Linked DNA regions of Rattus norvegicus. The protein of the gene in region 1 purifies or fractionates together with the protein of each later gene. This does not show direct contact. Links are inferred from orthologs where the notes say so. Each region holds a gene or a part of one and is shown on either strand. Other genes may lie near its edges. The genes, in order: Abi1, Brk1, Nck2, Eps8l1, Eps8, Nck1 and Nhsl3.

Evidence for each region.
Region 2: the proteins of Abi1 (region 1) and Brk1 purify together in Homo sapiens (co-immunoprecipitation; 3 studies listed by BioGRID and IntAct, with this or other methods). This does not show direct contact. The link is inferred for Rattus norvegicus from reciprocal best matches to the Homo sapiens genes ABI1 and BRK1.
Region 3: the proteins of Abi1 (region 1) and Nck2 purify together in Homo sapiens (affinity purification with mass spectrometry; 3 studies listed by BioGRID and IntAct, counting the BioPlex papers as one, with this or other methods). This does not show direct contact. The link is inferred for Rattus norvegicus from reciprocal best matches to the Homo sapiens genes ABI1 and NCK2.
Region 4: the proteins of Abi1 (region 1) and Eps8l1 purify together in Homo sapiens (co-immunoprecipitation; 4 studies listed by BioGRID and IntAct, with this or other methods). This does not show direct contact. The link is inferred for Rattus norvegicus from reciprocal best matches to the Homo sapiens genes ABI1 and EPS8L1.
Region 5: the proteins of Abi1 (region 1) and Eps8 purify together in Homo sapiens (affinity purification with western blotting; 4 studies listed by BioGRID, with this or other methods). This does not show direct contact. The link is inferred for Rattus norvegicus from reciprocal best matches to the Homo sapiens genes ABI1 and EPS8.
Region 6: the proteins of Abi1 (region 1) and Nck1 purify together in Homo sapiens (co-immunoprecipitation; 4 studies listed by BioGRID and IntAct, with this or other methods). This does not show direct contact. The link is inferred for Rattus norvegicus from reciprocal best matches to the Homo sapiens genes ABI1 and NCK1.
Region 7: the proteins of Abi1 (region 1) and Nhsl3 purify together in Homo sapiens (affinity purification with mass spectrometry; 3 studies listed by BioGRID and IntAct, with this or other methods). This does not show direct contact. The link is inferred for Rattus norvegicus from reciprocal best matches to the Homo sapiens genes ABI1 and NHSL3.

Annotation. Positions count from the first base shown.
Region 1 is NC_086035.1:90,085,028-90,089,042, forward strand, and holds the start of Abi1 (abl interactor 1), read right to left. Parts: upstream 2,801-4,015; 5' UTR 2,737-2,800; coding exon 2,620-2,736; intron 1-2,619. UniProt on the Homo sapiens protein: May act in negative regulation of cell growth and transformation by interacting with nonreceptor tyrosine kinases ABL1 and/or ABL2. May play a role in regulation of EGF-induced Erk pathway activation. Involved in cytoskeletal reorganization and EGFR signaling.
Region 2 is NC_086022.1:148,305,076-148,309,235, forward strand, and holds the start of Brk1 (protein BRICK1), read left to right. Parts: upstream 1-1,360; 5' UTR 1,361-1,381; coding exon 1,382-1,499; intron 1,500-4,160. UniProt on the Homo sapiens protein: Involved in regulation of actin and microtubule organization. Part of a WAVE complex that activates the Arp2/3 complex. As component of the WAVE1 complex, required for BDNF-NTRK2 endocytic trafficking and signaling from early endosomes.
Region 3 is NC_086027.1:53,293,979-53,297,478, forward strand, and holds part of Nck2 (cytoplasmic protein NCK2), read left to right. Parts: intron 1-898; 5' UTR 899-914; coding exon 915-1,140; intron 1,141-3,500. UniProt on the Homo sapiens protein: Adapter protein which associates with tyrosine-phosphorylated growth factor receptors or their cellular substrates. Maintains low levels of EIF2S1 phosphorylation by promoting its dephosphorylation by PP1.
Region 4 is NC_086019.1:78,389,026-78,391,634, reverse strand, and holds part of Eps8l1 (epidermal growth factor receptor kinase substrate 8-like protein 1), read left to right. Parts: intron 1-1,573; coding exon 1,574-1,703; intron 1,704-1,798; coding exon 1,799-1,930; intron 1,931-2,195; coding exon 2,196-2,304; intron 2,305-2,443; coding exon 2,444-2,609. UniProt on the Homo sapiens protein: Stimulates guanine exchange activity of SOS1. May play a role in membrane ruffling and remodeling of the actin cytoskeleton.
Region 5 is NC_086022.1:172,215,361-172,219,569, reverse strand, and holds the start of Eps8 (epidermal growth factor receptor kinase substrate 8), read left to right. Parts: upstream 1-1,409; 5' UTR 1,410-1,980; intron 1,981-4,209. UniProt on the Homo sapiens protein: Signaling adapter that controls various cellular protrusions by regulating actin cytoskeleton dynamics and architecture. Depending on its association with other signal transducers, can regulate different processes.
Region 6 is NC_086026.1:109,913,248-109,916,747, forward strand, and holds part of Nck1 (cytoplasmic protein NCK1), read right to left. Parts: intron 776-3,500; 5' UTR 761-775; coding exon 535-760; intron 494-534; exon of another isoform or gene 1-493. UniProt on the Homo sapiens protein: Adapter protein which associates with tyrosine-phosphorylated growth factor receptors, such as KDR and PDGFRB, or their cellular substrates. Maintains low levels of EIF2S1 phosphorylation by promoting its dephosphorylation by PP1.
Region 7 is NC_086023.1:146,874,705-146,878,710, forward strand, and holds the start of Nhsl3 (NHS like 3), read right to left. Parts: upstream 2,801-4,006; 5' UTR 2,665-2,800; coding exon 2,439-2,664; intron 1-2,438. UniProt on the Homo sapiens protein: Able to directly activate the TNF-NFkappaB signaling pathway.

The DNA.
Region 1 (4,015 bases):
AGCACATATATTAAAACTGAAAACACACACAAACATTATAAACAAAGAAAAAGAAATGACACAACTCCTTATCCTAATCAGCACTATTACCAATTAAAGTGGGTTGCTCTAAATTGTGTGTCTGTTCACTTTTTATGTGTAGATGTGTCTATGAACTCCTGCAGGTCCTCAGGTAGTCCAGAAGGTGTTAGATCCCCTGAAGCTGGAGTTACAGGTGGTTGTAAGCGGCCTCATTCAGGGATGGGAACCAAAGATGCAACAAACTCAAGGCTTTTCACACTAAAATAAATAAAAGTTGTACATTTTTAAAAAGATTGATTGATTGATTGATTGATTTCATGCATGTGAGTACACTGTCGCTGTCTTCAGACACACCAGAAGAGGACACTGGATCCCACTACAGATGGTTGTGAGCCACCACGTGGTTGCTGGGAATTGAACTCAGGACCTCTGGAAGAGCAGTCAGTGCTCTTAACCACTGAGCCATCCCTCCAGCCCAAAGTTGTACATTTTTTAGTATCTATAAAATACAAGATCACTTTTCTATTTCCACACTATATCCATATTTCTGTACCATTTTTTAAAGGATTTAACATATTAGACTTATTTTACTTTTGAGTATCTTTGCCTACATGTGTATATGTGTGTGCTTGTGTGTCTGTATGTATGCTGAACGTGTGTTTGAAGCCCAAAGGTGTCAGAAGAAGCAGTGGATCCCCTGGTCCGTAGTTAAGGATGGTTGTGAACCAACATGAGGGTGCTGGGAATTGAACTCGATCGAGTCCTCTGCAAAAGCACCAACTGCTCTTAACAGTTGTCAAGGCACCCTTTCTGCTCCTTAAAATGTGTTTTGTTTTTTTTTTTTTTTTTTTTTGGTTCTTTTTTTCGGAGCTGGGGACCGAACCCAGGGCCTTGCGCTTCCAAGGTAAGCGCTCTACCACTGAGCTAAATCCCCAGCCCTAAAATGTGTTTTTAACCAGCTTCATATATAGTTTTCAGAAACAAGTCATACAGAAGACACAGGAGGCATTCAATAAGTTTATCAGCAGATTACCAGAGTCAAAGGCTGGAAAAGAAGGCATGAAGACAAATTCCTTGGCACACCACTCCAGACAGAATGTTACTAATATGGAAAGTGGCAAATACTTAAGCCTCAAAACAGCATCTCCCTCTGAAAACGAAGTGTACAGGCATCCCCAAGCACAGAAGGCCCTTGCACACTCGCAAGGCACGTTCAGAAATCCTTCAGGTCTCAAGTACAATAACCCTAACTTTTCAAAGATTTCAGGTTTTGCCTTGTCAACAGGAAGTGAGCTTCTAGTCTCAGTATCTGATACAAAGAATTCCACTACTTCATTTGCTTCTACTGCAAACTGTTAGTTTTTACACAACGACAGGAACTACAAGCCAAACCACTGCATACAATTCACTTACAATCGCTACTAAACATAAGCACGCATAGCATAGTAAAAGTGCCAAGAATTTCCTGATAAATTAAGAAGCAATTTTACGTTATGACCCAAAGATTAAATAATGCTTGCCAACCTACTTTATTCATACTCTTCTAAATATTAACTCATGATAGAAATCTCAGAACATAAGCAACGATGACACTACTGCGTTCAAAGGCAACAGTCCAAGAACATTTGGAGGAAGAGAAGTATTTAAGACATTTCCCACTGAATTTCCCTATGAATCATTCGTGCTTTATAATAACCAGTATACATTATCCTGAAGCAGAAGTAAATATGAGGAAAAGCCGGACTTGAAAATCGCCAAGTACGCAGATTTCCTCCAATTAAAAGAATTTTAAGATGAATTTTATCAAACCCTCAGCAATCACTCCCCGCACTGTACAAACGTGACTCGTGACAATTTTTTTAAATAAATAAAAGGCACACCCTCTAGGATGAACTGACATAATCACCCCCACCCCACCCAACCCTCCAACGACACACACCCCGCTTTTCCTTCCCTGCCCATTCCTCACGCAGCTGTCCGGATCTCATCACACTGGGCTCAGGGGCGACAGAGAATTCTGGGGTCCAAAGCGACCAAGGGAGGCTACGGGATTTCCAGGAGGACTTCAGCCAGGGCCGATCCCGGCCAGGGAAGGCTGAGGGGGGTCTTAGGACCAACAGTAGCCAAAAGAGGCAACGAGGAGTACAGCCCGACCAAGAGAAGACTGCAGCGAGTGGAGCCCCGGAGGAAAGACTGCCGGGAGCACGACCCGGCCTGGGAAAGCCGCCGGGGTCTAGGCGCAAACCTCAGCCAGGGCAGGTGGTGGGGAGCAGAGCTGGGCCGGGCAGGCTGAGAGAAGCAGAGCTCGGCCAGGATAGGCTTTGGGGAGCGACTGCACGGGCAGGCGGCGGGGAACGCCGCCGGTCCGGGGCAGGCTGCCGGGAGCGCAGCCGGCTGGGCACGCGGGGAGCGGCTTCAGGGCCGGCGGCGCCCGGGGCGGCCCTGCTCCTCACCCATTTTCTCGCGGCGGCCACTTCCTGTATCGCCGCGGCTGCGGCTGCTCGGGCCAGGGCGGAGGGTGGCGGAGTGGGGCAGCTCCCACCGCACCCAGCCTGCCCGTCGCCCCAGCGGTCCTCGCCGGCCGCCCAAGCGCCTCACCTGTATGTAGTTGTTTTCACAGTAGTCCGCCACCCGGGTCAGGTTCTGGTAACTCTCTATCAGCGCCCTCTTGCCAGACGGGATCTCCTCCTCTAGTAACATCTGCAGCTCTGCCATTTTCCACCCCTCCGCATCGCTTCCTCTCGCGTTAAAGAGACAGAGGCAGCTGAGTCCGACGGGGACCGAAGCGCCGCAGAGATCAGACACTAACCACCCACCCGCCCTCCGCCGGGTATTGTGGGACTGCACCTCCTCCTCTTCCTCTTTACTCTCCCCGCCCCCCTCCACCCAGGACGCACAGCCACCATAGACTCACTTTCTCGCGAGAATCATTTCCCTCTTACAACGAGAGTTTCCACCACGCCCTCTATAGCAATCCTTTCTGGGAATTGTAGTTTCTTCCTGGCTAGGCCGCGCATGCGTTTAAGGTGCTTCCAAAAATCCTGAAAAGAATTTAAAGAACCAAGACCTATACAGTCTTAAATCTAGACTCTTCTCAAGATCCCAGAAGATGGCGCCACAAGGTGATCTAAGCAGCGAAATTATTCCTATGAGAAAACTTTGAAAATTTGCAGAACTTACTTAATTAGGAAATGTCAGTAAGTCAAAGGCATCCAATCAGATAACAATTAAAAACAGAAACTGCGAGACCTGACTTCCTCAGTTTTGTGAGAGACTTTGCCTCAACTTATGCCCCAATTCATTTAAAACCTAGAAAACTATCAATTCTCAGATGTACATCAAGCAGTGTGCTTGCTATGGCAGAAACAAATGGGGCAAGGATAGTTTTCACGCTTAAGAATTTAAAGAAAGTAAATAAATAAATCCTTTTTTAAAAAAGAATTTAAAGAAAGCTGGGCGTGGTCGCAAACGTCTATGGCTAGCAGAGGCGATGGATCTACTTGAGTTCAAGGCCGGCCTGATTTAAAACCGAATTTCAGGACAGGGAAAAAAATTAATGAAGAGTGGCTGCACATCCATTATCCCAGCACTCGGGAAACTGACAATGAACTGAAAAACAGTCTGGGTTATAAAGGGTGATCATGTCTAAGACAGAGAATGAAGGATGGACAAATGCGAGGATGTTAACATTTAAAATAGACAATTTTAGGGCTGCCAATATGACTCAGCAGATAAAGGTGCTTTCTCAATTCAAACCCCAGAACTCATATGGCGGGAGACCAAAACAGCAGACTCCTACAGTTTTCCCTCTGACTGCCACACTACTCCATGGCAAAAGACTAGCGCTCTCTCTCTCTCTCTCTCTCTCTCTGTGTGTGTGTGTGTGTGTGTGTGTGTGTGTGTGTGTGTGTGTACATTTTTAAATATATAATTTCAGAACTTTCCTCTTCTAATTTCTTTTCTCATGCCTTCCTATTCTTTTTTAAGTAATGCA
Region 2 (4,160 bases), on another chromosome or scaffold:
GTTAAGGTTTCCAACACTGTGAAGAGGCACCATAACAAGGAAACGCTTAGAAAGTCAAACATTGAATTGGGGCTGGCTTACAGTTTCAAAGGTTCAGTCCATTTTCATCATGGTGGAAAGCATGGTACCCAGCAGGCCAACTTGATCTAAAGGCAGTCAGGAGGTGGCTGTCTTCTGCAGACAGCCAGGAGGAGGCTCTGATTCCACACCAGCCAGACTTTGAACACTAGGAAACCTCAAAGCTCACACCCACAGTGACATGCCCACTCCAACAAGGCCACACCTCCTCACAGAGCCACTCCCCATGGGTCAAGTATTCAAACATAGGCCAAACCTATTGAAACCACCACACAAGGGTTGACTCCACCTTTGTTTAGCTTTACTGCAATTACTATAGCAGGCACTACCTCAAAGCCCAATTCTTAGGGTTAAAGTATTTCTCTCAGTCTCTTGAGTGCTGAAGTTACAAGCATGCGCGATGACCACTTCCTTTAACGATTTTCTTAATGACTCGGTGGAAAGGTTAGAGATTGCTTTTGCAGTTCTTGATAGAAATTGCTCTAGTTTACACTGAGACTTACCATTTTGCTTCAGCCTGTCCATCGCTGGGCATTAGCATTAAAAATGTAGTTTGCTCATTTGGTCAATATGGAGATTCAGAATCCGTGGGATGCCTCGATTAATAAAGACACTTGCCACCCGAAAATGGAAGGCAAGGAACCAACTCCTGAAAGTTGTCCTGTAACTTCTGCTTGCGTGTTGTGTCACATGTACGCTTACACACACGTAATATGAATAAAAATTTTAGCATGGCGGTGGTGGCCCACACCTTTACTCCCAGCACTCAGGAGGGAGAGGCAGGTGGATCTCAGAGTTCGAGACCAACCTGGTTTACAGAGTGAGTTTAGGGACAGCCAGGACTACACAGAGAGATCCTGTCTCGAAAAACAAACAACAACAATAACAATTTTAAAAGAAAACGAGAATGAGCAGAGTTGTGACCCAAGCATGAAAAGCATCTTGAACGGGATTTGTGGACTGTGGCCAAATCTGCTGACAAAGCGCAAGAAAGCTTGGAGCAACCCTAGGTGGAGGTAGGAGCGTGTGGGCGTCCCCTAACGACAAGACCCGCTAGTGATCAGCGGGTTTGTGCAGGCGGGGACAGGGTAGCTCTCAGTCTTCACAGTGCGAGTGGAGGAGCCTTGTTTTCCCCTGCGTGGGAGCCAAACTGGAACGGTGAAGACAGTTAGTCTGCGCGTGCGCGCCTCAATGCCAGGACTTTCTGGGGCTCGAACACTTGGGTGCCGGCGGCAGCGCAGGCGCGTTGGAGGCCTGTGGAGGTCGCGGCGCCTGCGCAGTCACTCTTCCTCAGGCTGCCGCCATGGCGGGACAAGAGGATCCGGTGCAGCGAGAGATTCACCAGGACTGGGCGAACCGGGAGTACATTGAGATCATCACCAGCAGCATCAAGAAAATCTCGGACTTTCTCAACTCTTTCGGTCAGCGGGCGAGCAGGGGAGGCTGGGAGGAGGGAGGCATCGGAGGCTGCCGGCGGCGCTCAGGAGAGGCGCGCCGTGCCGGCTACTCGCTTCCTCTTTCGCTCCCTGCCGGCCCCAGGACCCTCACCCTGAGCCTCACTAGGCGGTTTCCGTGGGTCTACCCTACCCATTGCCATGCCCCGCTTGCGCACGTCAGCGCGCCCGCTGCCCAGCCTCTTAGGCCCATCCATCGTCTGACTTGGTTTGCGCTGCCCTTCCTTGCCAGTCTGCACTTGGCACGCAGTGCGCAGCCGTGTCACAGTCACGAATACTGTTAAGAGACTCCTGATAGTTCTCCATCTCCTTCAGGATCAAGTCGGAAAGCCCTTAGTGCCATGCCTTCTATTGCTCCCGTTTAACCATTCCCCTGCCGTTCATTCCCCCAGCTCCCTTTGGTTCTAGTGATGAGGGTTGTAAGGGATGGGGCCCTGTCGGGTCTTGGAAATGCGTTTTGTAGCCCTGTATCTGCTTCATAGTAGGTGTTCTGGGTGCTTCTGTCTGGTTCCTCGGGTTTAACAGGGCAGATTGCTTTCAGCAGAGTCTACTTTTCCAAAAACTATTCCTAGGTGTGGCCGGCTGCTGACAGTCTTGATTTCTTTCTGCATGTGTTCCTAGCCTTCTGGACTGAAAACCTGTCACAGACTCCTTACGGTCTCCGGAAGGGTTCCTTCAGGAACTTTCTTACACAATACAAGACGTGCAGATGGCATCCAGTGATCTTTTTCAACTAGAGTACTGTGGTTCTACTAATTAGCAACTTTCAGCATCTTTGGGAGAGTGCTGTATTTTGGAAAGTAAATTAAAATGAGTCGATTATTTTCTAGCTAAAGACCTGATGAGTCCTAAGTAGTATAATGGAGGTGACAGAGCAGAATGATGTAGTTCAGGTGTTGGGCTCCTGAGTGGCAGGCACAAGACCCTCCACTCCTTAGAAAGTAAAGAGTTTTCTCTTTTTCTCCGCCCCCCCTTTTGGGTGTTGTTGTTGTTGTTGTTGTTGTTGTTTTGTTTTGTTTTTTGTTTGTTAAGAAAAGAGAACAAAAAAGAAGGCGGAAACGCATCATTAAGCGACTAGGGATTCCCTGTCTGTAGAGCAGTGGCCCTGCAGGCGCACACTGTGCCTCTAAGTAGCAGCACTCAGGAAGCAGAGGCAGGAGGAACTCAAACTCATCTGCTTTGTAGAAAGTTTGAGTCCAGCCTGGTAGAACAAAGCAAAAATCAGCAGGGGTAACTGGTCCTTACACAGGTCCTGCTGTATTTGGTGGCTCGCGCCTGTGCTCTTAGCACTTGAGAGAGGAAGGCTGGAAGAGTGTTATGCATCTGAGGCCAGCCTGGTCCTCAGAACAGCCACAAAAAAGGAACCATTTTCTGGGGCTCTAAAGATTGCTCAGCTTCCAGAGGACCCAGGTACAAATCCCAGGACCCACGCTGCAGTTCGCAACTGTCCATAACTCCAGTTCTAGGGGATATGACACAGACATATATGAAGGGAGACTATCAATGTAAAAAAAAAAAATCCATCTTCTGTATTCAAAGGCGTTCCTTCGGTTGGGGATTTAGCTCAGTGGTAGAGCGCTTGCCTAGGAAGTGCAAGGCCCTGGGTTCGGTCCCCAGCTCCGGAAAAAAAAAAACAAAAAAAAAAAACAAAGGCGTTCCTTCAGGTTGTTGAGATGGCTTGGCAGGTAAAAGCCACCAAGTCTGGCAACCTGCATACAATCGTCAGGGTCTACAAGGTGAGAGAACCAACTGCCACACGTTGTCTTCTGACCCCACAACGGTACCGTAGTACATGCTCACACCCACCTTCAAATACAGCATAAAGAAGAGATCTTAATCTGTCCATCCATCCTCCGTCTCCCCTACTCCATTTTGGTTTTGAGTCTTGGAAATTGCTAGAGCTCTAGGTTCACCGTGTTCAACTTTTTCTTCCCTTCCCCTCCTGTGATAATTAGTCTATCACTTTATGCTGGCCTGGAACTCTATTGATCAAGGATGTCCTCTAATTTGCGATGCCTCTTCTTGGCTCCGCTTCCCAGGTGCTGGGATTAGAAGTGTACTTACAAAATGTGTAGGGCTCCATGTAAGCTTACATGGATTTTCTCAACGGGGAACGGAGGTTAAAGATTAATTAGTGAGGGAGTAGCATAAATGTGTCAGTGCCATAGCCTCACACCCGTAAGTCACTGTGGAGGCTACGGTAGAGAACTGTAGTCAATAAGAGTTCACGTATCCCCAGAAGAAGCCGATTTAAGAAGTATAAGAAAAAGAATTCAACTCCGTGGGCAAGGCAGGTGGGCTCGCAGTTCAACCCTATGATGCAGATTCAAACATTTCGAGAACTGATCATTTGTCCTGCCGCCCATAGTCTAGTTTCCCTGTGGAGGTTTTCTGTTTTGGCCCAGGACCTTGTGAATGCTGGAATCAACTCCACCCTAAGTTGCACTTGCTGGGCGTGTGCTTTCTGTGTAAATGACTTCCATGTTTGGTCCACGTAGTTGATTTCTCCTACTTTGCCAGAGAACTGGAATATTTCACTTTTTTATTTAAACAGCATTCCTTATTGAAAAACATCCCCTCAAGTAAGAATCAAATGAACTGACAAACATTCCCTCAAGGAAGAATCGA
Region 3 (3,500 bases), on another chromosome or scaffold:
GTTTGCTCAAAGGAGACCCCATGTCCAAATCCACATGCCCAGCCTTTCTGGCCTCGCTGCCTGCCTTCAGGTCTAGGAAGCGTCTGCATTTTCTTCTGCTCTTTCCCTAGCACTTAAACATCCCACTGCCTTAAACCAGACAATTGGTTTAGCAGTTCACCTCCTGGAGGGTATCTTTGGTTATTTCCCAGTTTGGGCAATTTGAATAAAGAAGTGAATATCCAAGTATTGCTTTGTTTTACGGTATGATTTTATATTTATAGGAATAGTTCTGTACAGTTATTTATGCAGGAAATTAGCCCCTAGCTAATTTCTCCAGTGTTAACATATTATATTGAATTGTCAAAACTAGCTAGCCTGGGCGCGTCGCTGTTGTCTAGGCTTTGTTTACATTTCAACAGTGTTTTTACAAATTTTCTTGGTGTATTTTACCATCCATCTCCAAATACCTCAGTGCATTGGTAGTACATTAATTGAATTTGAGTTTATAGGAGTGGTTTGGGTGTGTTATATTTATTAAATATCTTCAAAATCCTCAGCATGTGCTGAAAATAGGAGTGCAAACCTATCAGCTGTAAGGGCGGTGTCACTTGCCAAGTGAGCGCTTTAATCATGAGATTATTATTCTGAGTGTTTTGCCCCCAAGTTCGCATCTAGCGTCAGTAAATGCGCAGTGTGCTTAGTGCACTGAGAGGGGCTGCAGGCTTTGATTACAAGATGCTGTTTCTCAGCAGCACTAGGGCCTACGGGTAGGTCATTCTAAGGGCAAGTGCTTCAAGGGGCTGAGAGGAGACCGGGGGCAGTGTGGCCATGGGAGCTGTCGTTGACAGCTTTTCAAATCTGTCAGAGGAGAGGGGTTCAGGTAGCTAATGAGCATCTTTAAATGTTTTGCTGGCAGAAGGGCTCCATGAAAGATGACAGAAGAAGTCATTGTCATAGCCAAGTGGGACTACACTGCCCAGCAGGACCAGGAGCTCGACATCAGGAAGAACGAGCGGCTGTGGCTGCTGGACGACTCCAAGACGTGGTGGCGGGTGAGGAATGCGGCCAACAGGACAGGCTACGTGCCTTCCAACTACGTGGAGCGTAAGAACAGCCTGAAGAAGGGGTCCCTGGTGAAGAATCTCAAGGACACGCTAGGTGAGTGTCCATACCCCACCTGGAATAGCAGGTCGTCCCACAGGAACAGCCAGGGTTAGCACTGCTGCTTCAGTGTGCGTGTGCGTGCATGCGTGCGTGCGTGCGTGCGTGTGTGTCTGTGTCTGTGTCTGTGTGTGTGTGTGTGTTAGATACGTAGTGTGTGTATGCATGTGTTGTGTGTGTGTGTGTTATGTATGTAGTGTGTGTATGCATGTGTAGTGTGTGTGTGTGTGTTAGGTATGTAGTGTGTGTATGCATGTGTAGTGTGTGTGTGTGTGTTAGGTATGTAGTGTGTGTATGCATGTGTAGTGTGTGTGTGTGTGTTAGGTATGTAGTGTGTGTATGCATGTGTAGTGTGTGTGTGTTAGGTATGTAGTGTGTGTATGCATGTGTAGTGTGTGTGCGTGTGTGTGTGTGTGTGCGTGTGTGTCTGTGTCTCTGTGTGTGTGTCTGTGTTAGATACGTAGTGTGTGTATGCATGTGTAGTGTGTGTGTGTGTGTGTGTGTGTGTGTGTGTTAGATACATAGTGTGTGTATGCATGTGTTGTGTGTGTGTGTGTGTGTGGTAGGTGTATAGTGTGTGTGTACGTGTTGTGTGTGATAGGAATGTGTGTAGTGTGTGTGTGTATGTGGCTGTGTATACAGTGTGTTTGTGTGTATGGAGTAGGTATGTATGTATGTTATGGGGTGTGTTATATGTGGTAGGTGTGTAGTGTGTGTGTAGGTGTGTGTGTGTGTTAGATATGTAGTATGTGTTTGCATGTGTAGTATGTGTGTATGTGTGTGGTAGGTGTATAGTGTGTGTGTATGTGCTGTGTGTGGTAGGAATGTGTGTAGTGTATGTATGTGGCTGTGTATTCAGTATGTTTGTGTGTATGGAGTAGGTGTATATGTTGTGGGGTGTATATGTATGTGGTAGGTGTGTAATATGTGTGTGTGTATGGTAGGAATGTGTATAGTATGTGTATGTATGTGGCTGTGTATTCAGTGTGTTTGTGTGTGTGGAGTAGTTGTAGGGTGTGTTGTATATGGTAGGTGCATAGTGTGTGTATAGGTGTGTGTGTATGTATGTGCTATGTGTGTGTATGTGTAGTAGGAGTGTGGGTAGTGTATATATGTGGTGCCTGTGTGTGTGTGTGTGTGTGTGTGTGTGTATGTGTATGTGCTGTGTGTGTGTATGTGTGGTAGGAGTGTGTGTATGTATGTGGTGCATGTGTGTGTGTATGTGTATGTAGTGTATGTGTTTTGGGGCCGGTATTAATGTTGATAGCCTCCTACCTTCTGGGGTTTTATATTGAGATTAAGATAAACACTAATCATTCTCTGGATAAATTATACAGTTTGGGATCTTGGGTAAATCAACTCCTCCTCATGGTGCTAAGGACCCCTACACAGCTGTCTGTCTCCTTGTATCCAGACAGTAGAGGACCCTGACTTAGAATCATGACAAGTTTAGTAGCTTTTTCTGTCAGTGTATCACCTTTTATCTTACAAATTCCCATGCTGGCCTCTGCACACAGAAGGAGAAGGCACTTCTCCCCTCGTCTTCGGTGATAGCATAGTTTATTCTACAGTTTCGGGCAGTTGGTTAATGTGTAGTTGGGGTGATTAGAAACATGACATCAGAAGTCTCTCAGATGGATACCTCCATAAGCCCTGTTTGGTTATCACATTCTTCATAGCTGTGCCTCTTGTCTTCCTCTGGTATATTAGTTCATTTCCTGACACTGTAACAAACTGCTTGAGGTTAGGCTATATAAAGAACACTGCTTAATTTGGCTTACACTCATGGTCCAAAGTCAAGTGGCTGTATGTATATCTCCTTCTTGGCAAATTTTCAGTATGGTACAAGTTCCTTATGGCAAGAGACCAGGAGGGATAAAGAATTGTATGTGTGTGTTTTTGATACTGTTCCCTCTGTAAACAGAATTTATGCAACTGCTATCACCCAAAGGCCCCACTTCTAACCACTGTTATAGGAACCAGTTTCTTCTTTCTTACTACCTCTGTAGGGGATTAAATTCAGCACAAGGTAAGGAGATACATTCGAACCCCAGTAATCCATAGCACCTGATCAGACAGGGGTTCGCTACCTCAGTGGTAGGGAAGCATACCTGAGTGTGTACATTGTCCTCACCAACCATGGTTACTGCCTCAGATTGTCTGAGAATATAATTGGGAGGGCTCTGTGGAAGGACAACTGAACTGAGCTGACAGTTTACAGTTGCTGCCTCCTCAGGTAAAGTATAAAGTTGTCTATAGGCAACAAGGCCAGCTCGCCACTTGAGGTTTGTTGTGGAAGTAAGCCAGTATCATCACCTGGGCTGAGTGTATGTAGGCTTTTTTGTGTGTTACTGGAA
Region 4 (2,609 bases), on another chromosome or scaffold:
TGGCTTAACTTGAGTTTAAACCTAGCTGCATAGAGAATATTCAGAGTGACCCTGACAAGGACTTCCAGGGCCCAACAAAGTTACACCTTCCTTTTACTACTACACCGTACCTCAGTTCCTTCCCTATAAAAAGTGAAATAATGGCCATATTCTGCTACTGAAATCCTGTCATCCCTGCTACTCAAAAGCATGAAGCAGGAGGATCGAAAGTTCTGGGCCTACCTGGACTACAGAGTGAGCTCAAACGCCAGCCTGTGCAAAGTAGCAAAGCCTTGCCTCGGAAAAAAAAAAAAAAAAAGAAAGAGCCTGGAAGGGGCTAGAGAAATGGCTTAGTAGTTAAGAGCCCTAGCTGCTCTTCCAGAGGACCAGGGTTTGACTTCCAGCAGCCATACATGCAGCTCACAACCATCTGTAACTCCAGTCTCAGGGGATCCAACACTCTCTTAGGTCTCTGTAGGTACCAGGCACACAGGTTATGCACAGACCTATATGCAGACAAATACATCTATATACACAAAATAAAACAGAGGGCTGGCATGTAGCTCATGGCATTTGCCTATAATCTACCAGTAAAGGGTTGGAGGCTCAGGAGTAGAGTGACTGCCAGAGAAGCTAGTAGTGAGGGGTTGGGAGTGTGGCTTAGTGGTAGAATTCTTGCCTAGAATCCACCAGTAAAGTGCTATGGCCATGGCTTACCTGTCTGGGCTGTGGCTCAGAAGTAGAATACTTGCCTAGAACCTACTAGTAAGGAGCTGGTGCAATATCTGCCTGACATACACAGGATACTGGGTTCAATGCCCTGTACCACACATAGGGTGGAAGGGAGATAATAGTGAAATCTCTGGAGGAGGAAGGAAGTAAAGTGGGTCTGCATTTATGGGTCTACAGGCTAGCTCCGGGAGAATCAGATGGAGATGAACATGATTGGCATGCAGTGCAGTATAAGCATATGCATTGGCGATTGTTTGTACCTTGCTCGTTATCCTAGTGGATGATCAGTATAGATCTGTTGTTTCTAACTATCTGCTCTGAGTTTCATTATTCTCATAAAATGCAAGTGAGGAGCTGGAGAGATGGCACAGAGGTTAAGAACACCCTCTACCCTTACAGAGAGGACCTGGGTTCAGCTCCTGGCACCACATGGTGGCCCACAACCGGCTGTAACTCCAGCACTAGGAAGCCAGCTCTGTGAGGACCACACGTAGATGGTGCACACACATAAGTGCAGGCAAAATACACACAAATAACATTAAGAACAAAAAAAATGCAAGTGAGGACCGGGAGTGTAGCTCAGAAGCACTTCCTTAGCATGCACAAGGTCCTGGGTTCAATCCCCACCACCCCATAAAGAATTAAACAGTAATTTTATCATGTTTACTGCATGATGCCAGGCAAGGAAATGAGCCAACTATATTCAAGCTGTGACTCCAATGTCAAGTCTGTATTAACGTATTAACCTGGGACCCTGCTCTGGCCTCTGCTTGGCTCTAACCCCAACTCATACTAGCAATTTATAATCCAGACCATCGAGGCTAGCTACCTCCTTATCTCCTACCCGTTTCACTCTCCCTAGTCATCAAGATCCAGAACTGGAAACTGAGTCCCAGCTAGAAGAGAAAGCCAGAAAATGGGTTCTGTGTAATTATGACTTCCAGGCCCGAAATGGCAGCGAGCTATCTGTCAAGCACCGAGATGTGTTGGAGGTTAGTGGTGTGGGGGCCTGAGACCCTGGAATTGGCCGGTTCTGCATAGACTACACATAGAACCAGCAAGAATTTTCTGCTTATTTCCCATCTAGGTCCTGGATGACAGGCGCAAATGGTGGAAGGTTCGGGACCATCAAGGACAAGAGGGCTATGTACCCTATAATATCCTGACACCCCACCCTGGACCTCAGGTGCACTGCAGCCAAAGCTCCGCAATAAACCTAGTAAGTCAGCATATTCTTGCTTCTTCAGGGAAAAGTGGGGGCTAGATTCTAGGTCCTGGGGATGGGGACGGAGAAAATCAGGTGTGAAGGGTACTTCTTGGAGAGTGGGGTGTTCAGTTTATTGAGATAGGGGCTGGGAGCCTTATCTCTCTCTCTCTCTCTCTCTCTCTCTCTCTCTCTCTCTCTCTCTCTCTCTCTCTCTCTCTCTCTCTCTCTCTCTCTCTCTCCTCTACCCCCCCCCCCCGCCCTCTTCATTCCCTTCCAGGAGACTAGCCCACCTCCTCCCCCACCTGCTGCAGCTCCAGCCCCCACTCAGGTGCGGCCCCAGTGGGACAGTTGCGACAGTCTAAACAGTTTGGATCCCAGCGACAAGGGTAAGTAGTGGAGAGTCTCTGGGAAGTGATCCTTATCTTCACTTTTCCGACTCCACTCTGGGCAGGCTAGAGACTCCCGAATCCCTGGCTCCAGCACCCTGAGTGCGCACTCCCTCCCTTCACGATTTCCCTCCTGCAGAGAAATTTTCCCAGATGCTTTGTGTCAATGAGGAGCTGCAGGCGCGCCTGGCGCAGGGCCGTTCGGGTCCCAGCCGGGTAACCCCGGGGCTTCGAGCCCCGGAGCCCCAGCTCAGCCCACGCTCTGAGGCCTCGGTGGTCCGTGCCTGGCTGCAGACCAAGGGCTT
Region 5 (4,209 bases), on another chromosome or scaffold:
TTTTCTTTTCTTTTTTTTCGGAGCTGGGGACCGAACGCAGGGCCTTGCGCTTGCTAGGCAAGCGCTCTACCACTGAGCTAAATCCCCAACCCCGAGGAGGAGTCTTACTAGTTTTTCTTTTTTTAATCTCATACACATTCGGTCTCCACTCTAAAATGCTTATCCCACAGGTTCTCTGCCTTCTCCCCTAATATTCTCAGAGACAGGCACCTATGACACATTACCAAGACAGGGACGGGCTTTCTTCTTCTGTCTTCTCACCACAGTTAGACTGTGGACAAAGCACCTCAAAATGGCTCTTGTCCGATGGATTGTCTTAGCACCAACTTTACATCTCCCAGTCCCTCCAAACCTATTCACTTATTTACTTACTTTTATTTTCTGTGCATCCGTATGTATATGTAGGGGATATCTGTGTACATCTCTGTGTGGAAGCCATAGGTAGCCAAGGGTTATGTCCCTCGGTTGGGATTCACTGTATTTTCTGAGGCAGAGTCTCTTACAGCCAAATCTAGCTGATTTGGTTAAGGTGACTTCTGGATCCCCAGGGATGCACCTGCTTTATTGCCTCACACTGGGGTTACAGGTGTGTACTGTCACACCTGGCATTCAAAACGACAAAGAAAAAAGGTTTATTTAATTATATATTTGTTTTTAGGTGTGTGAGTGTGCATGTGTGTCTGTGCACCGCACGCATGCCTGGTGCCCTCAGAGGCTGGAAGAGGGCATTGGATCACCTAGAACTACAGTTGCAGATGGTTATGAACCAGCGTCTTGTTGCGGGGAACCAAAATTGGGTCCTCTATAAAAGTAGCCAGTGCTCTTAATTACTGAGACATCTGTCTAGCTCCTGCCTGGCTTTTAAAATGTCAGTTTGGGGTCAAGACTAAGGACCTCATGCTTGCCTAGCAAGGACTTTATTGACCAAGGCATCTCCCCATCCTGTGTGGCACCAGGGCCATTACGTACAGCAGGGTACAGTAGCTATGTCCTGTTTGCAAAGGAAGGCCAGAAATCCTGTATCATCTTAGTCCCGTGAGTATTTCCTTCGGAAGCAGTCTGCTTCAGGAGACATGGCACCGATCCGAATGTAGATTTGAACCGTATATGTTCTTATATGTCATCTCTCATTTGAGTCCTTAAATGGTCCCTCTCTGCCTCCACACCACCACAGCTGACCGCGTTTGCTCTGTGTCCATTGCCTTGGCCGCTAGATCTAGCTTTGACTTGGCACCAGATGATCTTCTTCATCGTAAGAGAAACCACATGCTTACTTTAAAGAAAATACTTTATTCTCATGTGTTTGTGAGGGTGGGTTCGTGCATGTGGATGTACTACCCGAGGATCCCAGAAGAGGGCGTCACATCCCCTGGAGCTGGAGTTACAAGGTGGCTGTGAGCCTCAGGGTTTGGGTGCTGAGAACTGAATCCAGGTCCTCCACCAGGCCAGGGAGGACTCTCAGCCATTAGTCAAATCTCCAGCTGCCCTGTACATACATATTTTATTGTACCTGCATTTACTTTTCTGTGTTTCTTGTACAAAGCCTTTCTTCGTTAGCTCATCTAACCACCATATTGCTGCACCTCCCCCTTGGTTACTCATTGACACCCAGTTCCTTAGACTCTGACTCTTCAGCGTAAAAGTGGCCATAGTAACCACATCTAGCACCCAGACAGCTCTCCATCAATGCCTCTCATTGTGCTTTGGTACTCTGTCACTCTCCACACCTTGGGCAAGCACTTTACCTTCTCAGCAGTGGCTATTTCCTCATTAAAAAGAGGAGGAAGTCTTAGCTAAGGCCGAGAGAGTCCAAAGGAGAGACTTTGTTGAGTATAGCGGAACATCGAAACTGAAGCAGGGTCCCTCCCTCTCGGTGTATGAACCAAGGGTCACTGGACACGTCCGAGAGCAGGGAGCGGTGCTCTCTCAGTCTTGCCTTGACGGTCACTTGGAAGAGTTTTACCTGAGCACTGCAGGAGGGTAAGTTGGAGTTTGTGAATATTTTCTTTGCCAAGGAGGGCTCTCAAAGGTGTAATTATGACAGAAGATGTTTGTAGACCTTAAAAGGTAGTATTATTTTTAGGCCAAGTAGGCCCTTTAATGATTTTTTTTTTTTTTAGTTGCCTTTGAGATTCCTAGTGGCTTCTGAACCCGGTAAAATCTTGGGATACCTTAGTGTCCTCGGCCTCCCTCCCTTCCTGTTTCCTTGCTTGGGGATTTAAAGGTCTTTCTTCTTAAGAGTCTGGTGCTTGCTTTAGGAGAGTAATCTCCCTGTTTACCTTTTAGCTAAGAAGGGATCCGAGAACTATTAATAGTTTGGAAGCTATAGACATAAAATTGACCTAAAATGAATCTTACAGGCAAAACACTTTGATTATGCTATAAATATTAACTGCTTTGAATTGTCTGAACAGTGTTAGTTGTTCTATGAAAATTTGCTTATTACTCAAATTTTAACCTTCATAGGTTATTGTTGGCTCTGAGCCCACAGAGTGAACACCGCCGACCTTCTATGCAAACATTTTACTTGGGACTGAAACTGTAGTTGGATATGTGTGTTTAACGTTTTTGTTTTTAAAATCTGTGTGTATTAATGGAACTTGTAAATATTTAAATAGTCAATTAGTGGAAGTTGTAAAGGAACAACTATTTTTAAAATAGCTAAGTTTATAATTTTGGTATTTTAGTATTAAATTTGAGTTTAGAGGCAAGCAAGACTATCAATGTGTAGGAGTCTCTATATGCCTTTTATTTTTGAGGTTCTTACTGGATTGTCACAATTAATCTGATTGGAAAGGAAACGTTTGCTTCTTGCTCTGTTACCAGAAGTTAAATACAAAGCTAGGATTGACACTAGGTAAGAACAAAGAGGCGCCCAATAGTCCAACAGAGGGCAAAAGTCAGTGTCTGCCTGACTTACTCTTCTGGAGTGGGGCTGCACATTCTTCAGTTTAAGTCATAATATGTGTATGAGAGTGTGTGTGAATGTGAGTGTGTGGGGGGGTATGTGTGTGTGTATGTGCATGTGGGTACGGTGTGTGTGTATGTGTGTGTGTACACATGTGTATATGCATGTGTGTGTGGTGTGTGTGTATATGTGTTGTGTGTGTGTCTGTGTGTTTTGTGTGTGTGTCTGTGTGTGCATGTATGTGTATGTGTGTGTATATGTGTGTGTGTATGAGAGTGTGTGTGTGTATGGTGTGTGTGTATGTGTGTGGTGTGTGTGTAATGTGTATGTATGTGTTTGTGGGGTGTGTGTGAATGTGTGTGTGTATGTGTGTGTGTATATGAGAGTGTGTGTTGTGTGTATGTGTGTGTTGTGTATGTGCTTGTGTGTGTGTGTGTATGGTGTGTGTGTATATGGTGTGTGTTTATATGGTGTGTGTGTGTGCGTATGTGCATGTGTGTATGGTGTGTGTGTCTGTGTGTTGTGTGTGTGTCTTCATGTTGTGTGTGTCTGCGTGTGCATGTATATGTATATGTGTATGTGTGTATGTGTGTATGTGTGTATGTGTGTATGTGTGTATGTGTGTATGTGTGTATGTGTGTGTCTTATATGTAAATAGTGAGCCTGTGTGTGTGAAGAGGTATATGTACATATATATGGATGCAAATGGAGGTCAGAGATCCCTGTCCAGTGTCTACTCAGTCTTATCTTTGGGGGTAGCCTATCTCACTGACTCTGAGATGCGTGGATTCTTCTAGGCTAGCTGGCCAGTCTGCTGCAGAGAACCATCTGTCTGTCTCTTAAGCCCTAGGGTTACGGGTGCACACTGCTGCCTCTGGTTTTTCACAGGGATGTTAGGTGTGAAGCTTGGTCTTCAGGCTTGCTTTAGTAAGCCCTTTATCCGCTGAGACATTCCCCCATCGCCTAAGTGATGCTCCAAACATCATTCTTGTGTGTGTGTATTTTCCTGTAAGGTGTCTATCGTATATAGGCCATGAAGAAGGCTGACAACACAGGCCTTCCTCACATGACCTTCTAGTAACACATACGGCCTTTAGGAGCAGAAAGAACTGTGAGGCTCATGGAGATATTTATGGTATGACTTATTTTTATCTCGGTTATAAACTTTTGTACAAATTCCAAGGCACAATGTCAGTGTCGTGTGGACTTTAAACTCCACGTATTCTCTGAGAAAGGAATGTAAAACATTTTGTTCTTTGACCCAGACTTCTCCCCACTTGAAGGAGGATGTGTGTGTATAC
Region 6 (3,500 bases), on another chromosome or scaffold:
TTTTTAAGGGAAATTCATTAACATGTCAATAAAGTTCAGTAATGTGCCATGTAACATAAATTACCAGGAAGCCTAGAATCAATTGCGAATCTCATTCATTTTCCCTTTCTCAATTAGTGGCAAATTTTTTGCAAATCGAAACTCCACAGGAGCTGTTGTAAGAAGGCCAAAGTTGGGCTGGAGAGATGGCTCAGTGGTTAAGAGCACTGACTGCTCTTCCAGAGGTCCTGAGTTCAATTCCCAGCAACCGCATGGTGGCTCACAACCATCTGTAATGGGATCCGATGCCTTCCCTGGTGTGTCTGAAGGTCAAAGTTAGTTCTGCTCATTAGTACCATTTGAATGCAGGCCTAGATTAATATAAACAGCTAACATGATCGTCATTGCCTCTTAAACAGCTGTTAGGAATTCAACTTACATTGTCTAGATAAAACAACTTTGCATACTGCTATATGGATTGTGTTCAAAGAACTAAGTTCCAAAATCCATCTCAAATGAAAGCTGTTGCTTTTCCTCCAATAGGAAACCACTTACCTAAGGTGTCCTTCAGGTTTTTAACAATAGATGCTTTCCGAGCACTATTTTTTCTTTCCACATAGTTAGAAGGGACAAAACCTGTTTTATTCATGGAATTTCGAACTCGCCACCAGGACTTAGAGTCATCCAGGAGCCATAATCTCTCATTCTTCTTGATATCCAGCTCTTGTTCCTGCTGTGCCACATAATCAAATTTGGCCACCACCACCACTTCTTCAGCCATGTTTCAGCAGCCTCACTGTAACACATAGACAATGTGTTTAAATGTTGCTGGAGTGTAACTGTCTACATGCTTGTTCAAAAAGACATGCCTAAACATGTAAGAGGCCAGAAATTATGAATCATACCAGCAAGCCTAACACTCAAAAGGCTGAGGCCAGAGGACTTTCATAAGTTTGAGGCTAGCCTTGGCTACACACTAAGTTTGAAGCTAGAGTGAGCTACAGAGTAAGGCCCTGTCTCAAAAATAATATACAAAACAGGAGACGGGGGCTGGGGTTGCATGTAGTTTAGTGGTAGAGAACATGCCTAGAATATGCACAGCTTTGAGTTCAATTCCCAATACTATAAAAAGAAAAACATCTAAGAACATCAAAAAGTTAAAAGTGATATGAAAAATGCCAACAGGCAAATACTAATTTTTAAAAAGCACTTGTTCCTATTTAGTATTATATAAACTAACTTACATTTAAAACCACCATTAGCAATGAAATTCACTACACAAACAACTGAACATTTTTCTTAATGTGGATAAAATCAAACTTGTATGTAACAAATAACATAGATGCTTTCTGAATACTTTTCTATCCCATATAAGTTATATAGTACAAAATTTAAATATAGTGGTCTAACTACAGGAGAAATAACAAATCCATTATTATGAGGGATTATTTTTAACATACTTATCTCAATAATTAAACAATCAAGGAGACAAAGCATCAAGGTTATAAAATAACACTGTTAGTGAGATATAACAGGCATGTCAAGTGTTACTTCTAAACAAAAGAACATATATGGAACACATAGATACCATCAGTATGAGCTAAAACTTTAAAGAAAGTTTTAGCCTGTAAGTTCAGCAACTGGAGACTAAGGTAGTAGCATCATAACTCCGAGGCTAACTTAGACAACATTTCATATCTCAAAAGTCTAACCCCTTTCATGTTGTTCTCTGGACTGAGAACCAAGTACACTGATATGTGTGTATGAAAAATTCAGTAATAAGGGCAGGAGCAATGGCTCAGCTGTTAAAAGTATTTCCTGTCTTCCGGAGAACTGAGATTTGGTTCAGACTCCCCACCTCAGGTAACTAACAACCCCTGGTAACTCCATCTCTCCTCTCCTCTCCCCTCCCTCTCCCTCTCTCCTCCCCCCTCTTCCTCCTTCTTCTCTGTCATACACACACTAAATAAATTAAAAATATTAAAAATAAAATAAATATTTAGCGCAAGGCCCTGGGTTCGGTCCCCAGCTCCGAAAAAAAGAACCAAAAAAAAATAAATAAATAAATAAATATTTAAATTGGAATAATGAAGCCCATTACTTTATAAACTGGTTTAAAAATTATTTTCAACTTTCATGTAACTGGCAAAAGAATTTATGAAGGAGATGGCTCAGAGTCAGGGCTGCCAGCCATTGCCCAGTGTAGAAGAGTGTGTAACACTCAGGAGGTGAAGCTCCAGTCCTCTCTCTAATTAAAATGACAATTCTGGAGATATTAATCAATAAAACAAAGAAAAAGTACATGTAAATACCGGGAGCTACAACTGTGTACTGCAAAACAGTCAAAGTTAATAGTAACACAAACAACTTTATAAATAAATCTGAAGATAATAAAATACAATGATGAAACTGTATGAAAAATAGTATTAACAAGTCTTCCTATAACATCAACACCAAAGAAAGAAAGTTTTACAGGAAAACTCTACTAAAATCAAGAAGAAATTATATTGATTGATTGAAAGATTGATTGGTGGGATTTTTGGTTTGTTTTTTTTTTTATTGGTTTGTTTTGTATTTTGAGGTAGGGTTTCTCTGTGTAGCCCTGGCTATCCTGGAACTCACTCTGTAGACCGGGCTGGCTTCAATGTCATCAATCTACCTGCTTCTGCCTTCTGAGTGCTAGGATTAAAGGTGTGAACCACCACTGCCTGGCTTATACACATTATTTTAAAAGAAAAAATAGTTTCAATAATAGTTACAACTATTATTCAATAATAGTTCAATAACATATAGTTGCAATAATAGTTTCAAAGGCTGTCTTGAAACTATTTTAGAGTTGATCTCATTCTGCTTTCTTCGGAGAGATTCCTTTCATAAAAGCAGATATATATGCCTCACAAAGGAAGCCAATTCAGCCTTTTGTCTTGGGCATTGATACCAGGTCTGTTTTCTCAACAATGAAGTAAGTACTTTAATCTAGAATTTTAATTTTAATCCAGAAAATTAACTTTAATTCAGAATCCAACTTCCTTTTGCACAAGTATGTCAACAAGATAGAGACATACAAAGGATTTGCAAAAGCCTCAAAATCTGCCACACATTGTTTTATGCTTTGTAAGGGAATCACTTAAGTGAACAAAGATGCTTTAAAAAAGAAGAAAGAAAAAGAAACAACATGCTCTGTAAGAAACACTGATGAGCTAGGATGTAGCAGGTCAGTGGTAGTATTCGTGCCCAGAATGCACAAGGCCCCACGGGTTTGAGAACCATGAGAAAAACAAAGATGAGCAGAAAAACGTGTGGGGGGTGGGGGGGAGGTTACTTGTATTACTGCAACTCGACTGTCTGAAAAGACCTCAGCACAGAGTGTAAATCATTACTGCCATGATACGATGTCAGTTAAAATAAAGGCCGAGGAGACGGCTCAATTGGCAATGTGCTTGCTCTGCAAACAGGAGGAAGAGTCTAATGCCCCAGAACCTATCAAAACGCCAGACAGCAGCACACAACTGTAATCCCAG
Region 7 (4,006 bases), on another chromosome or scaffold:
TGCCTCTCTGTAGAGTGGGCTGCGTGAGACCTTCGAGCCTCCCCTCTGTGTCTTCTGAAGAATCATGTTGGTTTCTGAAGCATCTGACTGTGAATATCAATCTGAGTTTTTGTCAAATCAGTCATTCGCCGTCACTAAGCCTCAGGGTTTTTGCCCCATGGGATACCCCCACCCCCACCCCCATTGAGAAGAGGTGTTGATATGTAGTCTAGGCTGGCCTCAAATGTATTCTCCTACCTCAGCAACTCCAATGCTGGCGGTGTGCTGCCACTACGTCCAGCTCTGCAAATGGGATCGAGTGAGGAAATGAATGTAAGTCTCCTGACACATTCAGAGTAATCCATCAATGTCAGGTTTCCTCCTTTCTGCTAAGGCTATGAGGGGAAGAAGAGTGTGGGAAGGGAGGTGGGGCACAGGAGATTGCAGCTCAAAATCACATTGTAAGCACCATCTCCCGGTTTACAGAAGAGCAGTAAGGGGAGCTGAGACCTGTGTCTCTCGATCTCTGGTTCTGAGACTGTGGCGGACCCATTGAGCTTCCCACAAAGGCCTCTCAGTCCTTCCAGAAAAGCTCCTAGTAGATCCCTCCTTCCCCAGTCTCCGTTCTGATGGTCATCTGCCCTGAAAGAGTTAAGCCTCCAGCCTCCCCTTCCTGGCCAGTGGAGATTAGAAAGATCGGATTTATTTCTCTTAATAAACAGAAAAGAAGCTGGCCCAGGCAGGTGACAGGGAAACAATCTGAACAATTGGAGGCTGGAGCAAAAGGGAGCAGGCTGCCCTCAGAAGTACCTGCGGCCACCTGCAGCCTCGGAAAGACAACCGCTCAGGGCAGAGGGTGTCACCCAGGCACGTGGACTCTGTGAGGCCAGCCTATTGCCCAGAAATCCCAGTGCTACTCAATACCAAACACAAGACAGGAGGCTAGGCCGCTGACCTGCCAACCCTAGGAGGCTCAAGTACTAACTTACCCCTATAGCCCTCTGCCTCCAGGCTGGTCACCTGAAAAAGAGAGTCACCTCCCTAAGATAGCCCACTCAACCACTATCCTGCCTGACCATCTGACCACAACCCGTATTGCTGCCTTTCTGACACAAGCTCTCTGTGTCAGAGGGGTATAACTTCACCCTGAATTCTAGTGGGGAGCCCTGGGACACATTCCCCTCCAGTTAGGGGCTGGAGAACACTTGGAAACACCACCCCAAGCAAACCTTCCCTCAGGGCTTGGCCCATCCATCTCAATCTAAGCGCCCAAATTTCTATTTGTGGCTGGGCTGCAAGGGAGCGGGGCCCTTTTCCAAAAGGAAGATGGGCCGGATGCAATCATACAAGAGGCTTTACACCCTCTTCCTGACCCCTAACGTTCTTTCTAACTTGCCAGAGGTAGTTAAAGGACACCGAAGGGAAACACAGCTAGATTGGAATGGGCCCCGATCCAGGCCACTTCCTCACCTTCAACACTTTAACTTGGCGGTATAGGAAAGATAAACTTCAGCAGCGGCTGGCCTCTCTACCCTCTAGCAGAGACTAAAGGTCTCCCTACCAAACCGAAGGTAGAAGCAGGAGATGAGGGGAAAGCCGGACAAGTGGCCAAAAGTACAGTGACCTTAACAGGGATAGAAGACTCCCTGTTCCTTCCCGTTTCTGTTTCTCGGGCCTCCCATCCCTTAGGTTCCAGGGAGAGCCATGGGCTCAAAACTTCCAAAGACTCGGAAAGGGCTGCTGGAGTTCACCTGGAGAGCCCATTTCACTTGCGCCTCAGTTTCCCCACTTTCAACACAAGCAGGTTCCTACGGGGACTAGGGAGAGTACTGAGAGAGGAGGAGCGGCCTCTGGTTCAGGATGGTGATCTCACCACTCAGGAGGTGGATGCTTGTGGTTTGGCCCAGGTAAGGGGGGTGTGGGGTGTGGAGATGGGAAAAGCTAACACTGCTAACAACCTAAGGCAAAGGACTCCGCGCTGAGTACTTTGTGGAGCTGGTAACCAGGATCTACCTGGAGGGCAAAAAAAAAAAAAAACCTCCTTTTTGAGTAGGCTGACCTTAAAGACCCAAAGAGACTGCCATTCCAAGACCCAAGGCCACCTGCCTCTCCCATTGGCCCCTGGCCAGTGTCAAATCTCCGACCCCCTGACTCAGCAGAGGGCAGAACCTGGGAGAGGGGAAGTGTCTTTCCACCAGGAGGGCCAGCCAGCCAGCACTTCCTGCTTAAACCGGGGGACCCCTGCCCCAGACAGGGGTCTCTGCCCCTCAAAGTTGGATAGACTGTGTCCCTGGAGCGGCGCAGGTCTTATCTTATGGTACCTTGGGCTCTTCACTTCATCCAAAACCACTGCCTAAGGGACAAGCCGTCCACATACAGCCGACCCCCACCCACCCACCCCAGAGGACCCACCCTGCCACACCCTTGGCGCGCTCAACCCAGGTGCCAGGCCACCTCACCTCGGCTTTTGCCCTTGGACCGCTTGGCCTTGTCCTCCGCTTTCTTGGCCCGCGGGGCGGCGGACTCGGCGCCCTCGGCCCCAGCCGCCTTCTTCTTGCGCCGTTTGCCCCGCAGCCAGCTGAAGGCGCGGCGGAGGCCGGAGCGGGACTTCTTCCTGCGCGGGGGGCCGCCGGGGCTCCCAGGCTCGTCGGCCGCAGGTGCGGCGGGGGGCGCGCGGGCCGCCATGGCGCGGGGCTGGGGACGCGCGGTGCCAGCGGCGGGGGTCAGGCCCCCTGCAGCGCGGCGCCCATGCGCGGGGGCGGCCGCCGCTGGAGACGCGCCCGGAGAAAAAAGTTTGGGCGGCGGAGGCCGAGGGAGAGCTGCGGGGGCGGGGGCAGCTCGGGCGGGGCCGCGGGGCGGGCGGGGCGCGAGCGGCGGGAGCGGCCGTCGGGGGCAGGGGGGGAGCGGTAGCAGCGCAGCGGCAAACCGCCCCTCCCCACCGGCCGTGCCCCGAGGGCGAGGTCCGGCTGCAGAGAAGGGGTTCCTCGTCCCCACTCCCCAAATTTCCAGGATCTGTCTCTCTGAAGAAGTTTGGGATCCGTAAGGCAGGAAAGGGCGCAGCGAGGTCCTGGGCTTGAACCATCCGGTGTCTCCTGCGGTTGGGAAAGACTTTTGCCCAGATACCTAGGACCTGTGGCAGGCATTCCCCTGGCTCAGGACCACAGCGGGGGGCCCCAGCCTCCAGCAATGCTCTGTGTTCCTGATTGTTCCTGATTCATTCTTGAGCACCTAGAGTGGGATGATCCGGCCTCAGTTTACCCTTAACAGGGCTGTGATTCCCCCAGGGCACTCATATTAAGACTCGGGCTTTCCCATGGAGATGCTCAACTAAGATAAATTAGGGTGGGACTTAAGGTAGGTGACTACTGAGTGCCTGGGGAGGCTGGTAAGAAAGCACCTTTAGAAGTCTTGAAAATGCTGTGTTCATTTCCTTGCAGGCCTCTGGTGCTTTATTATAGCTGACCAAGCCCTTTTGTATCTCTGAGTTTACAAGCTGTGAGGAAAGCAAGGTAGGGAATGTTTCCCTTTAGGACAGAAGGGAGAGTGAGGCCAGGAGGAGATCAAAGCCAGCATTCTGAAGCTCATCTCTGCCTAGAGGCTAACAAACCTCCGTGGTCCCCGGAAGAGTCTTGTGTGTCCCATGGTTAGAGTTGAGAGTTGTCTAGCATTATCAACTTGACACTTGTCACACAGCTTTCTCCTGGTCCTTGCCTGCATAAGGAAACGAACAGGAATTGATCACTCAGCCTAATCTCCCCTGGCACACAGTAGACCTCACTCTAAAGTTGTAAGGGGACCACAGTGCAGAGTGTGATCTGACCTGCTCCAGCCCCTGAAAGTCCCCAAGGCTTCCAGCTGTGGCGAACCTGGGGGCCAGGCAGGTTACCTACTGTCCACGCTGAGCCTCAGGCAAAGGGATAAAGTAAGTCTGCACTTCATGCATTCAGAACTGTGAAGGCAAATACTGTCTGTTTGTTTTCACTTATAAACAAGTCTTCTCTTAATGCCAGCCGCTCCCAGCAGGAGG